Linked DNA regions of Chlamydomonas reinhardtii. The protein of the gene in region 1 interacts with the protein of each later gene in a pairwise test. Links are inferred from orthologs where the notes say so. Each region holds a gene or a part of one and is shown on either strand. Other genes may lie near its edges. The genes, in order: CHLRE_01g023150v5 and CHLRE_01g030150v5.

Region 1 (8,155 bases):
CTAAGCACCCAACAACTACATCGTGCCTCCGCCTTCCTGGCCCCCCGTGGACCTCCTTCCATCTGGGACTGGCTCCGGCCACCCCTACCCCTCCCGCGATACCCAGACACCCCCGCACCTGCTGCTCGCCGCCCATCTCGCCCTGCGTGAGGCCGGACTTGACGGCATCCATGGTGGACTTTGTGAACAGCTCGATGGCGCGCGTGACGTGCTCCAGCGTGGCCACCGGTTGCAGGCTCATCTTGGCCAGCGACTCGCTGATGCGCACCACCGCCTCCAGCTGGCGCACGGTGATGGGCACCGGCGGCGTGTCCGAGTCGTTGGCGTCGGCTTGTGTGCGGGCCTGTGTGCGGGGCGGGACCGGGTTTGGAACGGGGTGCGGAGTTGAGTTGGTCGTGTTGAGCTGGCTACACATGCACGTGATGCAAGGCTTAGTTGTTGCACCGGCGGCGTATGAGGCTGGCTGCCCAAGCTGCGCACACTGTCCTGTGGTAACAACAACCACAACCCCACAACCCCCAGAGTTCGCAGGCCGAAAACCCACCTCGTTGCGGATCTCCACGTAGAAGGCCGCCAGGCGCTTGCTGGCCTCCTCGTTCAGGCGCGGGCTGCACTGGCTGCGGCAGTAGTGGATGTAGCGCTTCAGGAACTCCACGTCAGCAGCCTCGCCGCCCTTGTCGCCGTCGCCGGCGCCGTGGCCGCCGGCCTTGCCGCCGGCCGCGCTGGCCGCGGCTGCGGCGCCCAGGCGGTGGTTGTCCAGCACGTGCTTGGCGATGGCCATGTCGTGCTCTCGAGTGTCCTGTGTGCGGCACCAGGTCGAGCGTTTGAGTCAGTGCTTGGGAGTTACAGCACGAAAATCGACGTTAAGCCATGGCGCTCTCAGCTTGCAAGGCAAGCATAGCTGCAACAATAGCCGGCGGCTGCCAGGCCGTGAGAATGCCAGCACAGCCCTGCTGTGAACCCTGCCGCCCACCTTGACGATGAAGATGAGGTCGAAGCGCGACAGAATGGTGGACTGCAGGTCGATGTTCTCCTGCGCCGTCTTCAGGTCGTCGTAGCGGCCCGAGGGCGGGTTGGCGGCGGCCAGCACCGAGGTGCGGCTGCGCAGCATGGTGGTGATGCCGGCCTTGGCGATGGAGATGGTCTGCTGCTCCATGGCCTACAGAGGGTGTTGGAAAGTGCAAAGACGGAGGAGGGTCAACACCATGTGTGCAGTGTGTGCACAGGTACCGTATGTGCATGTTGGAGTTGTGAGCGGCTTGTTGAGGTTGGCAGAGCACACGTCCGTCACGACAGCACCACACCTCACACGTGCGCCCCAAGTCGCCGTCTCCGCCTTCCAGTTCCCAGTTTCCTGCCCCAGCCCCCCTTGCTCACCTCGTGGATGGCCACTCGGTCCTCCGGCCTCATCTTGTCAAACTCATCGATGCACACCACGCCGTTGTCCGCCAGCACCATGGCACCGCCCTCCAGGTAGAATTCGCGGCTGTTGGCGTCCTGTATAAGCAACAAGGCGCAAGAGTGGCGAAGGAGTGGTGGGCGTTTCGTGCATGTGGAGATCAAGGAATTCTAGCATGGGATGCTAGTCAGAAGCAGAAGCAGACCTTGCACAATTCCATGGTACAGCTTTCCGTGTTATACCTTTCTGAATCCCCATGTCCCGACGCGGCAGTCCAGTCTCTCACCTGCACCACGGTGGCGGTCAGACCGGCCGCCGACGAGCCCTTGCCGCTGGTGTACACCGCGATGGGCGCCACGCGGGAGACGTACTTGAGGAACTGCGACTTGGCGGTGGAGGGGTCACCCAGCAGCAGCACGTTGATGTCGCCGCGGCGGTTCGTGCCGTCGGGCAGTTGCTGCGGGCGCAGGCGGGGAGCGAGAGCGGCGCAGCGGGACGGGGGGATAAAGATGGGTAACATGAGCAGCGCTGACGTTGCGGTACCCATCTAGCCCTTGCCATTGGGTCATCTGACACCCTGGATTCACTATTGCGTACGCGAAGCGGCCCCCGTCCCTTCTTCCCCACACACCTTACGCGCGCCGCCAAACAGCAGGCAGGCCACGGCCTTCTTGATGTCGTCGCTGCCGTAGATGTTGGGCGCGATGCGCGCGAACAGCTCCTCGTGCAGCCCGTCCTGCTTGGCGAACTGCTCAAACTGCTGGATCTCCTCCTTGCTGCGGTGGGTGTATTTACATAGCGGTGTAGGGTGGGTTGGGTTGGCGAGTTGAGCCATGTGTAATGCGTCTAGGAGGTGGGAGGGAAGCGAGGCTGCCAGGGGGGGGAGAGTTGGACGGCAGAGACGTCGCTTGGAACGCAACTCGTTACCTGCGTCCCGCATGCCGCCCTACGGAAGGCCCAGGCCCTGCACGACGCACCGGTACCCCACCACGCACCCCGGTGCCCCTAGCCGCACTCACGTGAACTTGAAGCGGCTGTGGGCGTCTCCCGCCTCCTGCATGACCGACACCACCCGGATGTAGGGCTGCTGCAGGGTGGTCACGCCCTTGTCCATGGCCTTGCCCTGCGTGGGGTAAGGGGTGTGGGTGTGATTTCGCGTGCGTGTTCTTAAGGCTAACAGCATGTATGTGCATGTGTTTTGGGTGCGGGAAGAGGTGGTGGGCGCCCAAGGGGCCAGCGTGGGTTTGGATGGGGTTGGCACCACACCGGATGCCAACTCGTGCATTGTGGTCCCCCAGGCCTGACAAGTCCTCCCTGGGTGCTGCAGCCCCGCCTGCGCCGACCCTCCGAGCCACCTCAGCCACCAACTCCAGTCCCTCCACCCATGCCCCACACCCACCCTGAAGGTTGAGTAGATGCCGGTAATGGTGACACGTGTGCCGGGCGTCACCACGCCGCAGTTCTGGCGGTCTGCCACCAGCATCACCGTGCGCGGCAGCTCGCCGGTGGGCACGTCCTCGGGCTTCTCCTGCAGGGGGCAGGGGGCGTGTGGGCGCGGGGACGCGCCAGTCAGCGGCTGCGCCAATGCAACATCCTCCAGCCTCCACTCTTGGGCCACGCGTTCCCCATCCGCGCCCTGTCCACGTTACCCCACTTCACTGGCGTGCGCCATTTTACGTCAGCCGCCCACGTCCAACCACCCCCGCTCACCCCAACGGGCCGCAGGACGTGGGACCGCTCGATCGGGCCAATGCCCACAACCCCAGGCCCCCGCCAACACCACCTCCCACGCCACCACCCCCATCACCACGCCCATCACCACCGGCACCGCCGCACCTGCAGCTTGAGCGTCTGCTGATCCACGAAGTCGCTCTGCTCGGGCAGGATGACGTAGGGGTTCTGGCCGCAGTCCTCGCCGCCGGCGCCCGGCGCACGCCTGTTGGCCAGGTCGCAGTAGCTTGGCACGTAGGCGCCGCCCATGCCGTCGCTGCAGGCCACGCGCTTGGTGCCGCGGCAGGTCTTGCACTGCACCGTCAGGTAGGTGGCCTTGTGCTGCAGGGGCAGGGGAGGCGCACCGATAGATATTAGGGAGGGACAGGCTTGGGCATGGGTGCGGCGACCGTATTGCATGGCAGCCATGCAGCCACGCAGGGTTGCCCTGGCCCGCCTACTTACGGTATCACCGTCCCCGCTTCCCTGGCCCCCCACCCCACCCCCGCTGGCGGGCCGCTTGCTCCAGCCCCGGCGCCTCACCCTGGGCTTGGACGAGGCCGTGATGATGCCTGTGAGCAGCACCAGCTTGGACACACGGCTGGACTCCAGGTCGCGGATGGACATGGCGGCGGACTGGGCCAGCGGGATGGAGCTGTACAGCAGGACCTGGGGCGGGCCGAGGAAAGGCGGGAGGAAGGGTGGACAGCGGCGACTTGGCGGGACGAGCGGGGCAAAGGTGCGAGGCACCAGAGACGCACTTGGCACTACCGGCTGCCTAGACAGGGTACGTTGCCTCTCCAGGTCCGTGGTGTCTCGGCATGCAGGCCCAGCCCTGTCCCGCCGCCCGGTGGTAGCCCGGCCCTCACCCACTTCCCTGGCTAGTTGCATGCCCCCCTGTGAAGAGACTCCTGCCTCACCTGCACCTCCGGCACGTCCGCGGGGTTGCCGTCCTCGTCCGAGGCCATTTTGTCTTGAAGCACCTTGCGGGCAGCCTCCTCAAACTGCAGCACACACACACACACGGTGCAAGTACAGGTGCAGACAGTTGGCAGTACTGGGCTACCTCCCCCTCCCCCCAGCCCCCGCACACAGCTTGGGCCTCTCTCCCTTTCCACGCAACGGTCCCCCGGATCGCTCCCCAGCTCTTACAAACTGAAGGCAACGCTGCCATGACGCGGCACCCTTACGGAACAACAATGCGCGCTCTCCGCTACCACCACCACCACCACCACCACCACCACCACCACCACCACCACCACAGTCTGTCCTGTGCGCACCCCGCCTCCACTGTCAAGGCCTCCACGCACCAGTGGCAGCACATCCGACGGCCGCTCCTCCAGCGCGTCCGCCAGCTTGGGCGCCGCGGCGCGCACATCCTTCAGGTCCACGTGCAAGTGTGAGCGGTGCTCATAAAGGTCATCGCTGTGGACATATTGGGGGAGGGGGGAAGGCGTGCGAGAGCAACGGTTGGCGGAGGGCGGGGAAACGCCGGCCAAAGCCCTTCATATGTACCACCCTATGAGCCGCTGTACCCCGGCTGATGAGCTGGCCGTTGCCTGGCAAGTGCCTACTGGCATCCCTGTATGCAGCGCTCTGGCGAGAGCTGTCGCGGCTCCCGAGCTACCGCGGCATGCCAAATGCACGCGCAGAACTCCACTCACGCGTAGAGTCGCCGCTCCTGCACATCCCTGGTTGTTCCAATTTGATATGATTGGATGAACTGCTTAAAGCCTTCCACGATGTCGCGGTCAGGCAGACCGGGGCCATCTTCAATTGGGTCCCGAGGCGCCTCTTGCCCCTGGTAGCTCACATACACCCGACCGCCTGCGATACGTGGAAGCAATACGTGTTCAGTCAGTATGTGCTGCCGAAAAGCCTAGCTGCGAGGTGCGCACCATCAAAGCCGCTCATATTTGGTCAACTCAAATACGTTTTGGTAAAGCGAGGTGTAAGGAGCGTCACGGAGGTAAGAACAAGTGTGCGTATGAGTGTGTGTCTCAATACTGTATGCATCTCCCCGATACAGCGGCATGTCAGCGATGTGCAGCCCGATTTCCCGCCATGGCCCGGCCGATTGCCGCTGAAGCCTTAATTGACCGCGTTGCCACACCCCAAGGTGCTTAAATTTGAATTACTTATTCCAGGCATGGCCGCCGGACACCTCGTTGAATGCATTCAGGCTGACATCACGTCGCATGCATTCAGGCCGGACAGCTACGTAGCGTGCTACGGCCGTCGCCGGCGTCCTGTGTAAATACTCCCGACGTCGTCCACTACAAATACAATGACTACGTCGTCCTGTATATATGGCCGACGACGTCGTCCACCATATGTGTGGTCGACGGAGACATGCCCGTGAGACATGCCCAGTGTAGTGCAGTGTCAGGGCAGGCACTCCTCCAGGGCGCGACGTCGCTTCCCCGTTACTTGCTGACACTATCAGGCTGTACGCCACGGCGGTCGCCCCCCCCCCCAGCAGCCCGGTGTCCCCGGGCTGCTTACCTTGTGCGTGGTTGTGGGAGGGGAGATGACTAGTGCCGCCGACCCCAGGGCACGCACCTGCAGGGGAGAAGTCGCAAAGCTGGAGGAGCCGCGAGTGATCCCCGGCGTTGGCGTGTGCAGCCTCTATGCCAGGCACTCATAGTGGGAACCCCCTTGTCAAGCTGGGTTCGTGCCAAGCACAGGTGGCGAGTCTTGCCCAGCTGATTATCTGCCGCCTTTCACACGGACAACAGTCGCTTTTGGTACAATTTGATGACATCAGCAGCTTATGCGGCCAAGCGTATCCGTTCAAGGCAGTCAAACTCGCTCGTGTGTCTCCTCTAAACACTCTACTTCTTGTGCAGCTCGTAGACTAGCTACAATGTCACAATTTCAACTGCAATAGCCCGTAGTACTGTGACGCCCGAGCGGAAGCGGAAGCTAGGGGCAGGCCTGGAAAATGTTTTGGGGCGATGTCGTTTACTACGTGCCCTTCGGCCCTTTAACATGTATGCTTATGGGCATCATCGGCACGGGCATATGGTGAGTCTGGCAGAGAATTGCACAAGAGAAGTTTCGGGGGAGGACTCGCGGCACCAGAATGCCCGCCAGCAGGACGGGACACACAAATATCACCCTGTGGGGCCTGGAAGCGCGTGTGCGGGAAAATGACTCCGCCAGCGCCATCCTCCACGCGGATGGTAGCAGCGCGCCTCCTCAAACACGGCAACAACACATGGGCTACCCCGCTAACCAGCGCGTTGGGCGTATTTGGCAGCGTCCATATAGGCTGCTACCAGCAAGTAGGATTGGGACATGGGCGGGGCTGGGATAGGCGGTTCTACAAGCGCATGCCTCCAACTTGCTTACCAGTCCTGCCGCCAATTGAAATGCTCGGTATCCCGCCTCCGGTTGTTCCACCCCGTCGCACGCAGGGTCCACTACACGGTAAGCTCGGGCTGCGTGCTGACCAGCAGGGCAGTTTGGAGCAAAGCGGCGCCGGGTGCAGGATGTACCGGGCCCATCCCAGTGGGCCCACTCACACCCACACCCGCCGACCCCTACCTCACCAACCGGGCCACGCTCTCTTCCCGACGCTCCTCTCCGCCCCCCAGGCGTACATGTACAACCAGGTGACCTGGGCGCTGGAGATCCTAGGCCCCACCGTGACGGCGCACGACCTGGGTCGCATGCACGAGGCCATCATCGCCACCTCGACGGTGTACATGCTCTTCGCCTTTTTCAACTTCCTGGTGGGCCTGTGGCGCAAGATCATCCAGGTCAAGCAAGACACCGAAGGTGCGTGCGTGTCATTGCGGACTGCGAAGGCCAGGAAATCCAGAGGGGGTTGATAGGAATGGCGCCAGTTGCTGTGGTAGTCTTGTAGTGAAATGTTTTGGTGTACCGATGCTTGAGATGGAGTTGTAAACTTGTCGTAAGGAGGAGCCGCTAACGCGCCTGCTTTCCTTGTCGCTCGACCCATCAGGCTATGACGCCAAGACCGGTAAAATCTACCGCATAGTGGTGCTGCTGCTGGGCTTCTCATGGTGGATCCAGGTGGGCGGGGCGGGGCGGGGCGGGGCGTGACTCTTGCGACAGTAGCACCCGCTGGATGCCTGCGGGGCCAAGTGCTTTTGTCCCGGCACAGTCAAGCCTGGCCGTGGAGGTGGTCCGTGGGTGCTGCAGCACGGCGCTGCAGTTGGCGCCCGCAGGCTTGGTAGTCGCTGACCGGCCCCGCGCCACATCGTGCCTCCCGCCCTTGCGCTCCCCCGCAGGTGGCGTGGCTGGTGCTGCTGCTGATGGGGTGCGGCATCTTCGCGGTGGACGCCTACGTGGCCTACCGCATCATGGAGAAGGTGCAGCAGAACCAGGTGCGGGCGGGGCAGTGTGTGCTTGTGTACGTGTCCACGAGCCAGCTGCGCCCAGGGAGCGGCTGTGGCCCGCCACCTGCGCCCTCGGCGCCGGGACGCCCCTGCGCCACCCTGTTTGCCCCGCGCTTTGCCCGATACCCGCCTCCGCTTGACGTGCCGCTGCCGCCACCTCCACCGCTGCCGCCACCTCCACCGCTGCCGCCAGGGCGCCATGGCGGGTGTGTACAGCGCCTGGGTGACCGGCGCCGCCACTGGCTGGTCCATAAACCCCGCCGCGCTGGCGGCCGCCGGCGGCGACCTCATCGTGGCCGTGTCGGACGGCAACGGCTGGCCGCGCGCCGTGACCTGCCCCTCCACCTGCCTCAACCTGGCCAGCTACCCCATCGTGGCGGTGGACCCGGACCAGGCGTGTGTGTGCGACCCGCTCACCATCGCACACGCCATGGAGGCGCTCAACAACGCGCTGAGTTCCACGGCCGGCATGTTCGTGGGGCTGTGGTGAGTTTGAGGGAGGGGGGTAAGGGATGGGTGGGGCAGGTGTTGTTCCAACTGCAGAAATAAGGTGTGGGGAATGGGACAGGGCACGGACCAGGTCATCAGGGGGCCGGGCAAGTTAAGTCTGGTTTGTGGCGTCGGGGTTAGAATTGAGACGGTCCCAGCGATGCCGGGAAAACGTGACGTTCACAGCACC
Region 2 (8,625 bases), about 850 kb from region 1:
AAAGGACGCGCAGCAGGTGGCATCTAACAAATGCCAACAACCGAGAGACTCCAGCCGGCTGCAAGCGTTAAGCTGTCGACAATAAGTAGAATGGCTGTACTGTTCACCATTCACTCGCGGGTTGTGGGCCTGGGCTACGCGATGGAGGCACTGTCATTGCGAGACCTGTATTGCTCGCCCCGACCTCGTTTGCTTTTAAGCTGCGACCACACCAGTGCCCAGCCCGTGTCTATAAACCCATGTGCAATCGTTAGATAAGAAAGCTTGAACGAATGGGCTGCGGGTCTAGTGTGCCTGTGGAAGCGGTGGACCAGGGTGACCAGCAGAAGCAGCAACAACAGCAGGGCGGAGCGGCTGCCAAGAATGGTGCGTTAAGCAGCGGAGTCTGTTGCGGCCCCCACAGCTAAGACGCATGTTGATGGCGCCCGCAGGCTCGGCTGCCGACAAGGCCGCGACCGACGCTGAGACACAAAAGGCAAAGACGACTCGTGCTCGTCGCCTGAGCTATATTTCGAACGACGCGAATGGGGCGGCGGTAAGCTCTTGTCGACCGTCTGCAGCGCGCTACGTCGATACTAAGCCCGCTTTGGCTTGCAGGTGAACGCGCCACCCGGCTCTGCTGCGCCTGCGGCTGCAAACCCGGGTGGCAAATCTGGCAACACGAGAGCCAGGCGTCTGTCCTACGTGACAAACGATGTAAGAACGCGGAGTATGTTTTTTCCGCATCGTCCCCTTTCTGACTCACATGTCACTCTCTGCTTGCAGCCCAACGCCTCGCCGGGCAACCTGAAGCTCAATGGCGAAGGGGAGGGTGGCGACGAGCAGGACATGGAGGGAGGGGACGAACCCGCTGTCCAGGGTCAGCTTGCTCCCGAGGTAAGGGGAAAGATGCGCAACCTTGGCATGGTGTTGAGGACCCTTAGCCTGAATGCCCAACGCTTTCGTCTTTACAGGAGCAGGAGCGCAGGACTCTGCGCGTTAACGTTGCATGCATGTCGCGCGCTGGTCGCGAGCCGGGTTTCAAGAAGACCAACCAGGACAATTGCTTTGCTTTTGAGAAGTACATCACCGAGGACCAGTCTCTGTTCGGTGCTATGGATGGTCACGGGCCACACGGTAAGGAGGCACTGGTATTGAGGTATTGTTCGCCAAGCAACGCAGCATGCCCTCGATGTTTGCAGGGCACCTGGTGTCTGGCTACGTCAAGCAGCACCTGCCGATAATACTCGTTAACCACCTAACGTTGGAAAAGGACGTGAAGAAGGCGCTGTCTCAGGGCTTCTGCGAGGTGGACCGGTCCTTGGGCAATAGCAGGATAGACTGCGAGTTCAGCGGCAGCACGGCCGTGGTCAGCTACCTGAAGGTGCGCGCGGGCATGTGATGGGGTCAGGGCTGTAGGTAAAGCAGTTTTGAAGGGTTTTTGAGGGCGTATAGCTACCGGGTGTGCGGCTGGGGTTGCGTTCAGCGGTCACTGACCACGACTGGCGCTGACCTGATCATATTGTCCCAACCTACAGGGCAAGACCCTGACGACAGCGTGGGTGGGTGACTCTCGTGGCGTGATGGGCCGCGAGACAAAGAAGGGCTGGGAGGCGGTGGACCTTACCAACGACCACAAACCCACGGCGCCGGAGGAGAAGGCGCGGATTCTCAAAGCGAACGGCCGTGTGGAGCGGTAAGCTAATCTCTAGTACAAGGACTGGCGGAGGTTATCCTTGTGCTCTTTATAATGAATCCCGCATGAAGCATGCGTAGGTGGGCAGCGGCCAACCATGTTAACATCACGGCCCTTCCCGCGCTGGTACAGGCTGGTGGACGAGATGGGCCAGCCCATGGGCCCCTACCGCGTGTGGCTGCAGTACGCGTGGATTCCGGGCCTGGCCATGAGCAGGGCGCTTGGTGATGTCCTGGCACACCAGTGAGTCCCGGGGCAAGTGGTCAATGCTCGATACCTGTTCTGTGCGTCACCGCTTTCCTGCCATGCATGGTTAGGAGGATGTAAAAGTTGCCCTTGCCTTGCGGGAGTGATTAGACGGTTGTTAGGTGCTAGAATGTGCCCGGTTCTATGAGTATACCACATGCCAAGACGGCAGGATTGGTGCACAGGACGTGCCCTGTTGGGAAGGTGTTAATGCAGGGTGTGTGGAACTCTTTTGACTCACAGGGTGGGTGTGACGTCGGAGCCGGACCACTCGACCATGGAGCTGACGCCGCAGGACAAGTTCATTGTACTTGCCTCGGACGGTGTTTGGGAGTTCATCTCGAGCAAGGAGGCGGTCGACATCGTGGCGCAGTACGAGAGCGCAGAGGAGGCGTGCCGCCAGGTGCGCAAGCGTGACCATGGTCGTGTCGCTGAAGTTAGTGCTGCGTTATGGTCTCAACCCAGGATAGAGATATTAACAATCTGGAACAAGACTTGTGGAAGCGCGTGGCGCGGTCCGGAGGACGGCGCCAGCTCCACTTCAAAAGGGGTTGCCAGCTGTCGCCATCGTATGATCTGCGACTGACTCTGCCCCTGTTCTGCCCTGTCCATGCCGCTACAGTTGGTGGACGAGGCCTACCAGCGATGGCTGACGGAGGAGGAGGGCGTAGTGGACGACATCACCGCCGTCGTGGTGCGCTTCGTCCACCCATAGTCAGGCCACGGGCGGGGAGCACGTGCGGCATGGCTCCCGCTGCCCCACACATGACGTATGGGGTAGCGTAGCTGCATGGACAGCCGAAGCAATGTGCCGCATGCAGGCGGCAATAAGGGTACGCACTGTGTGACTGGTATAATGCGCGCGTGGTAACAGACTAATCATGACGCGGGTGGCGCATGTAGTTCTGGTGCATACGCGGGTCCACCTCGGGTAATAAAGCGTGGCTCGACGAAGGACCGAAGTTGGCTACCTGGCAAACATGTCGTGTGTGTGGCTGTGCGAAAATCCAAAACACCTGCTGGTGCATGAACGCTCAGCGTGACGTGGGTGGAATTGGCAGGGTGAATCGGTGGGAGGGCACTAGTGGGGCCTTAGGGCGCATTGCGTGTTACGCCACCGCCTCGCATGCTAAAGGTTGGCTTTTGGCTGCAATCGCTTTGACAAGAAGTGACGCAATGCACATGGGTGCGCGCGTGTAGCCTGGTATGTGTAATGGGTATTTCCGTGCGTTATTGCCATCTCTCATGCCGCGGTTAGGGTTCGGGAGTTCGTATTGTTGCCTGGCCACTCCTGGCCTGGCTGTTTGTTTGTGATTGTACAGAACAGGAGCGCATAATGGATGCTGACTGGCACCAAAGGCCAAGCGGACGGATCAGATCCGTGCGGCGTGATATGAGGTAGATTGCTGAGGTGGATTCCGAATGCAAGACGGAATTTGTGTGCAAAGCCTGTGCGTGTCCGTGACTCCGTCACTCGATGGCTAGGGCAAGGGGGGTTGTAAATACCAGCCCAAATGAACAAAATCCTCTGGCCGCAACACTCCTCACTCCTACGGCCTACCGCATACTGTGCTATGCTTGCCAGCAAAGACCGCTAACCAGACACCGGCCGGCCTCAACCTGCGCGCCGGCGCCGCTTCTTGGGCGACGCCGTGCTGTCCTCCTCCACGTGGCCTTGCTCGCCCCATGTGCTCGCTCCCTCCGCTACGCACATGCACGCCGCAACTGGTGGCATTAGTTCCGCAACACTCGTCATTATTGGTGGCCCAGGGCAGGGGAACCCCTGGCCCAGGGCAAGCAGGCACAACCAGGGCAAGCGCACTTGGGACTTAAGCATACCCACATTATGTAGCCTGGTGTACATGCAAGCATTTCATGAGCATGCCGGCATGCCCTGTCTATGTAAAGACGGACCTGTCTATTTCAGGCGGCGCCGGCGGTGGTGGTGGTGAAGGAGGTGAAGGTGGACCTGTGTGACTAGGCCAAGGTCAGCATCGAGGCCGTGTTCAAGAACGGCCTGCGCGTCACCGATGGTGGGTTGGGCGGGTGCATGGTGTGCAAGCGACGTGTGGCTGGGCGCACGGCTGGGCGCTGGCGGCAGCAAAGGCGGAGACTGGCGGAGAAGCCTCCGGGACGGGAAAGGCTTGTTGGCATATTTGCATGCATATCCTTTTAAATTGTTTGACATGTATCTGCATATTAATTTATTACCAGCCGGGACTCCCAGCTGTTCACGATTTCACTTCCCAATCGCGTTTTGGCGCGAAGCCCCTCCTGTTAGTCCCACTCTCCTCCAGGTGCTTACACACTCAAATGCGCCTTGTCTTCGTCATCAATTAGGCAAATGACAAGTCCAGAGATAGCAGTGCGTCCTGTAGAGGCGATTCAGAAGCTCTACCAGCAAGCAGGCTGCCCCGCTGAGGCCGATGGTGACTGGGGCGTGGTAAAGTACTTCCAGGAAGCCGTCAATGGGCTGGGTCACGGCGAGGTGGGTTGAAAGTGCCCACCAAAACAACGCAAAAGACATGCGAGCTCCCTACGCGCCTAGGCTCGCTTATTCCAACGGCTCGAACTCACATCTTACAGATTCCGCGTCTTGACAAGCAATCGGCGGACCGCCTCCCCCACCACAGCCTCGTGCGCTTCACCGGCATGGTGAGCAGTTTTGGCGGGGTTCTGCAGTGGCAACTTCCTGGCGATTACCTTACGAGGGCAGAAAGGCATCTACGTTTGAGAAAATTACAAACAGCTTACTTACCCATCCGCAGGTGCAAGACTTGCTGAACCCAGAGTACTACGTCGGGGCCTTCCAGCAGCCGAGTGGGCAGTGGGTCACCTCGAAGTTCTGTGACCCGGACATGCCTGATGACGCGCCCCAATCCGCCTCGCCCATCATTTGGGAGCGCCGCCCGGTCGTGTTGGTGCCAGTCCCGGGCCTCAGCAGCTGGTCCCTTTCCGCGCTGCCGGCGGTGCCGGCCAAGGACGTACACGCGCCTGCTGCGATGGCCAACACCACCACGCTGGTGGCTCAGGCCCAGCCCCAGCAAGCTCAGCAGCAGCAGGCCCAACAGCAGCCCGCCCGTGCCAAACGTGAGCGTTCCTCTGATGCCGACGCGCAGCACGACAGCGTCGCAGCTGAGCTGCGCGTCGCTAGCACCGGTGGTGCGGCGGTGCTGTCTCCGCGCGCCGGCGCCAATGCCGCTGCGGCAGCTGCCGACGCTGCGGCTCCCGGCGCGGATGCGGGTGAGGAGAGCATGAGTCACGACACGGGGCTCAGTGAGGACCAGGGACCGGGCGGGGCCACTGCAGGCGCCGGGTCGCCGGGTGAGGCGGAGGGCGCTGCGCGCCCTCGTGTGCGCCGGCGGGAGGACCCTACTGCCGCGAGGGTTGTTGGCGACATCGAGGCCGCAAACGACCGCGGCGCACCTTTCCCCGGGACGTCGGCTCCCGCGGGCCCCGCGGGGACAGGCTGTGACACCTGCGCTGGCGGGCACGGTTGCGCGCAGCACCCGGCCGGTGCGAATGCGGGGGCACAGCAGGCGGCGACGCCAAGCGAGGTGCCCGGCAGCTGCATCGTGTATGTGAGTTACTTGCCGAGCAAAGCTTGAATATGTCAGTGATAGCAACCGCACTTTGCCGATGCGAGAGCAAGTTTGTGACTCATGTGGGACTGCGTGCTCCAATGCAACACACAGTGCAAGCAGTACCAGTCAAGCCGTACCCCTCCCGGCCAGCATCACTTTGTAAACCCCCACGCTTCCCGCCCTACCCTACCTCACCTGCAGCTGTACGACAACGCGCCTGCGCTGCCACTGCACGAGGTGGTTGAGGTGGTGGGCGTGCTGAGCCACGTGCCGCAGCTGGCGCAGCTCGAGTACGACAACCAGGACCCTCACCTGGCGCAGGTGGGTTCCCGGGGCTTGGCGTAGGGCTTTCAGTTGGGCTAGGGCTTTGGCTTGGCTTTGGCTGGGCCTTAGTGAGGCCTGCGGTTTGCGGGTTGGGGGCTCAGCGACGCCCCGCGTACCATACTCCAGGCTCCTGGTGGAGCGCGGTTGGTGATGAACGTGCATCCAGACTGCAGCCACGCCGTCACTGATGATGAGATACACGCCGCATGCCTCTGCAGGAGCTGGCGTCTCTGGGTCTCGGCAGCGAAGGCGTCGGCCGCAGCGTCAGCGGCACCGGGGGCGATGCTGCCATGGGCGAGGCGGCCGACCGGGGCGTGCTGGCGGCACAGGGCGAGCGATTGGCGTTTGAGGCTATTCGGGCCGCCCACCCGCCCACCAGCAAGGTTGGTCTGCGGCAGGCAGCGCGCTTGTTTGCACGCCCACTTACTTGGACCCTGTCCGCTTGGGCGCCTCACCTGCGGTCTTCACGATCAGCAATGAAAGAGCGCTTTTTACCACCATAGCTTGTGACGGGGTCCAAGTGTGACGGGGACCAAGCGCAGGTGACGGCTAACCCGGTCCGCCCGCCTTGCGTTCCTGCTGCCAATGCCGCCACGCAGGTGATGCGGCTGCACGCAATCCTGGTGCGCCGCCAGCCCAACCTGGTTCCGGCTGCCACCACCGCCGCCGCTGCCTTAGCCTCAGCCGCCGCTGCGCTTGCACCTGCCGCAGCCGCCGAGGCTGCCGCCGCCACGACGCCTGCCGCCGGCAGCGCTGACACGGCGGCGCGGCGGGCGCGCGCTTTGGCGCTGCTGCGCTGGGCTCTGGGCGGCGACAGCCTGGCTGCCGAGTACGTGCTGCTGCAGCTGCTGTCGCGCGTGGTCAACCGCGGCGACCCCAACGCATTGGGGCAGCTGGCGCTCAACATCAGCAGGTGGGCGGGTGGTTGGGCGCCGTCGGAGAGCTGCAATGTGCACTTTTCCGGGGTGGGGCGAGGAGAGGCACGTATTAGGGTAGCGGGGGCAGTGCATGGGGGCAAACTCGGCAAAGAGGATAGGCAAAGCCGGGCGTATAGGTGTGGGAAATGGACGGGAATGTCAGGGTACTGCGCCGACACGACACGGGTCCCGGATGTAACCTTGCGTTGCAGGTGCCCTGGCGCCGTCACCAGCGCCACTAGCGCCGCCAGTGCCAGTGCGCCGCCCGCCACCGCTGCCAGTGCTGTTGGCTCGGCAGTGGCGGCGGCGGCGGCGCACAGCTCCCCCGCGCTGGCGGCTGACCTGCTGGCGGGCCGCGGCGTGAGCGGCTTCGCGGCGGCGCTGCAGGCGGCTGTGTCGTGCATGGTGCCGCTCAGTGTGGCGCTGCCGCTCAGCGTGGAGGGCTGCAACAGGTGGGAAGCGGCTCGGCAGGGCCTGGGAGGGCCGGAGGGGCGTTCACATGAGAAGCAACTGCGATGCTGTATGAGCGCGGAGGAGAGGGACATGGCCTTGATGTTGACATTCACCCTCAAACAACGGACCCTACGCCCCTTCCGCGCAGCCTGTCCTGGTCGCCAGTGCGCGACGTGTCCCGTGAGCGCACCGCGCCCTCGCCGCTGCAGCTGGCTCCGGGCACTGTGCTGCTGCTGGATGAGACCGTCATGGCGCCTGGCCAGCTGAGCAGCCAGGGCGTGGTCAGCATGCAGGTGGGCAACAGTGGGGCGGTGAGAGGGGGTACGGGTGTGCAGCAGCGGAGAACGCCTGGACTGGGGTTGGGCTTGCGTGCTTCTGGGAAACGTAGTTGTAACACCTTCGCCGCCCCTGCGCCGGCTCCGTGTGCTCTGCCAGCCTGCCCTGCCCTGCCCGCTGTTGCTTCGTACCAAGCGCTGCATTGCCCGAAGACTACTCTGTACGCGCCCCGCACACCATTACGTCCACATCACCCTTCGGCGCTGCCCTTCCTCACCTGCCTCACCTACCCCCAGGCGCTGATGACGCTAGCTCGGCAGCAGGAGCTGCTGTACGACTTCGAAACCTTCCAGCACCCCGTGCCGCTGGACCTGCCGCTCATCGTGCTCACGCAGGGCAGGTGCGGGACCAGGACCAGCTGTGTCCCCGGACTCCCAGCGCAGTCGTGGGGCAATGGCGGTGTGGGGCGCAGCAGGGGGGCGATGGCTTGGCGATTTGGTTGCAGCATGGCCGTATCAAGCTGTCGAGGTGTTAGCCTGTGGTTGCTGGGAGGGAAGCTGCGAGGTGTGGGGTGTTGGCCCGTCACCCAGCACCACCTGCAAGGTTCAACAGTTCCACGGTGGTTGCACCATGCTGACCGAGCTCTTGCGCCACCACCCATCCTGTGCAGGTCGCTGCTGCGCGACTGCTTGCCGCTGCGGCTGCCGCTCACCGCCACGCAACCCTTCCCCTCCGCCGAGGCCGTGCTGGCCTCCGGCGGCCGCCCGCCCGCCGCCGCCAGCCCCGCCACCAGCCCGCCGTCCAGCTTCGGTGGCGCAGCAATCGAGCCCGCCGCGACCCCCGTGGCGACTGCCAACGTGTCCATGGGTGACGGCGCTGCCACCGCTTCGGCGGCGGCGGCGGCTGACGTGGATCTGGCGGCGGTACGGTCGTACCTGGCGGCGGCGCGTGCCGAGCAGGGGTATGAGCTGGCGGAGGGCATGGCGCAGGTGCTGGAGCAGTGGTTCGTGGGCCAGCGCCGCGCGGCGCAGGCGCATCAGCAGGGGCAGGGGCCGCAGCAGGGGCAGGGTGGCGCGGCGGATGGCGGCATGACTCCGGAGGAGTTCCATCTAAAGCTCACGGTGAGAGGGTGATTAGTAATGGGTGTCTG

The links.
Region 2: the proteins of CHLRE_01g023150v5 (region 1) and CHLRE_01g030150v5 interact in binary tests that used the Arabidopsis thaliana proteins (3 or more experiments, as listed by UniProt). The link is inferred for Chlamydomonas reinhardtii from reciprocal best matches to the Arabidopsis thaliana genes MCM5 and ETG1.

What each region holds. Positions count from the first base shown.
Region 1 is NC_057004.1:3,590,872-3,599,026, forward strand, and holds the start of CHLRE_01g023150v5 (uncharacterized protein), read right to left. Parts: upstream 5,245-8,155; 5' UTR 5,024-5,244; coding exon 5,008-5,023; intron 4,937-5,007; coding exon 4,774-4,936; intron 4,535-4,773; coding exon 4,420-4,534; intron 4,114-4,419; coding exon 4,030-4,113; intron 3,779-4,029; coding exon 3,653-3,778; intron 3,452-3,652; coding exon 3,236-3,451; intron 2,928-3,235; coding exon 2,799-2,927; intron 2,523-2,798; coding exon 2,419-2,522; intron 2,176-2,418; coding exon 2,031-2,175; intron 1,857-2,030; coding exon 1,686-1,856; intron 1,498-1,685; coding exon 1,378-1,497; intron 1,160-1,377; coding exon 974-1,159; intron 800-973; coding exon 545-799; intron 344-544; coding exon 119-343; intron 1-118. Other genes in the region: CHLRE_01g023200v5 (uncharacterized protein), read left to right, coding at 6,054-6,136, 6,529-6,541, 6,709-6,892, 7,080-7,150, 7,369-7,464, 7,670-7,962. UniProt on the Arabidopsis thaliana protein: Probable component of the MCM2-7 complex (MCM complex) that may function as a DNA helicase and which is essential to undergo a single round of replication initiation and elongation per cell cycle in eukaryotic cells.
Region 2 is NC_057004.1:4,442,936-4,451,560, reverse strand, and holds the start of CHLRE_01g030150v5 (uncharacterized protein), read left to right. Parts: upstream 1-4,118; 5' UTR 4,119-4,265; coding exon 4,266-4,409; intron 4,410-4,507; coding exon 4,508-4,576; intron 4,577-4,689; coding exon 4,690-5,502; intron 5,503-5,706; coding exon 5,707-5,826; intron 5,827-6,047; coding exon 6,048-6,212; intron 6,213-6,428; coding exon 6,429-6,742; intron 6,743-6,958; coding exon 6,959-7,198; intron 7,199-7,347; coding exon 7,348-7,492; intron 7,493-7,771; coding exon 7,772-7,875; intron 7,876-8,145; coding exon 8,146-8,596; intron 8,597-8,625. Other genes in the region: CHLRE_01g030200v5 (uncharacterized protein), read left to right, coding at 273-366, 432-535, 598-696, 766-876, 954-1,116, 1,182-1,363, 1,518-1,675, 1,808-1,918 and 2 more. UniProt on the Arabidopsis thaliana protein: Associated component of the MCM complex that acts as a regulator of DNA replication. Binds to the MCM complex during late S phase and may act by promoting the disassembly of the MCM complex from chromatin. Required for sister chromatid cohesion.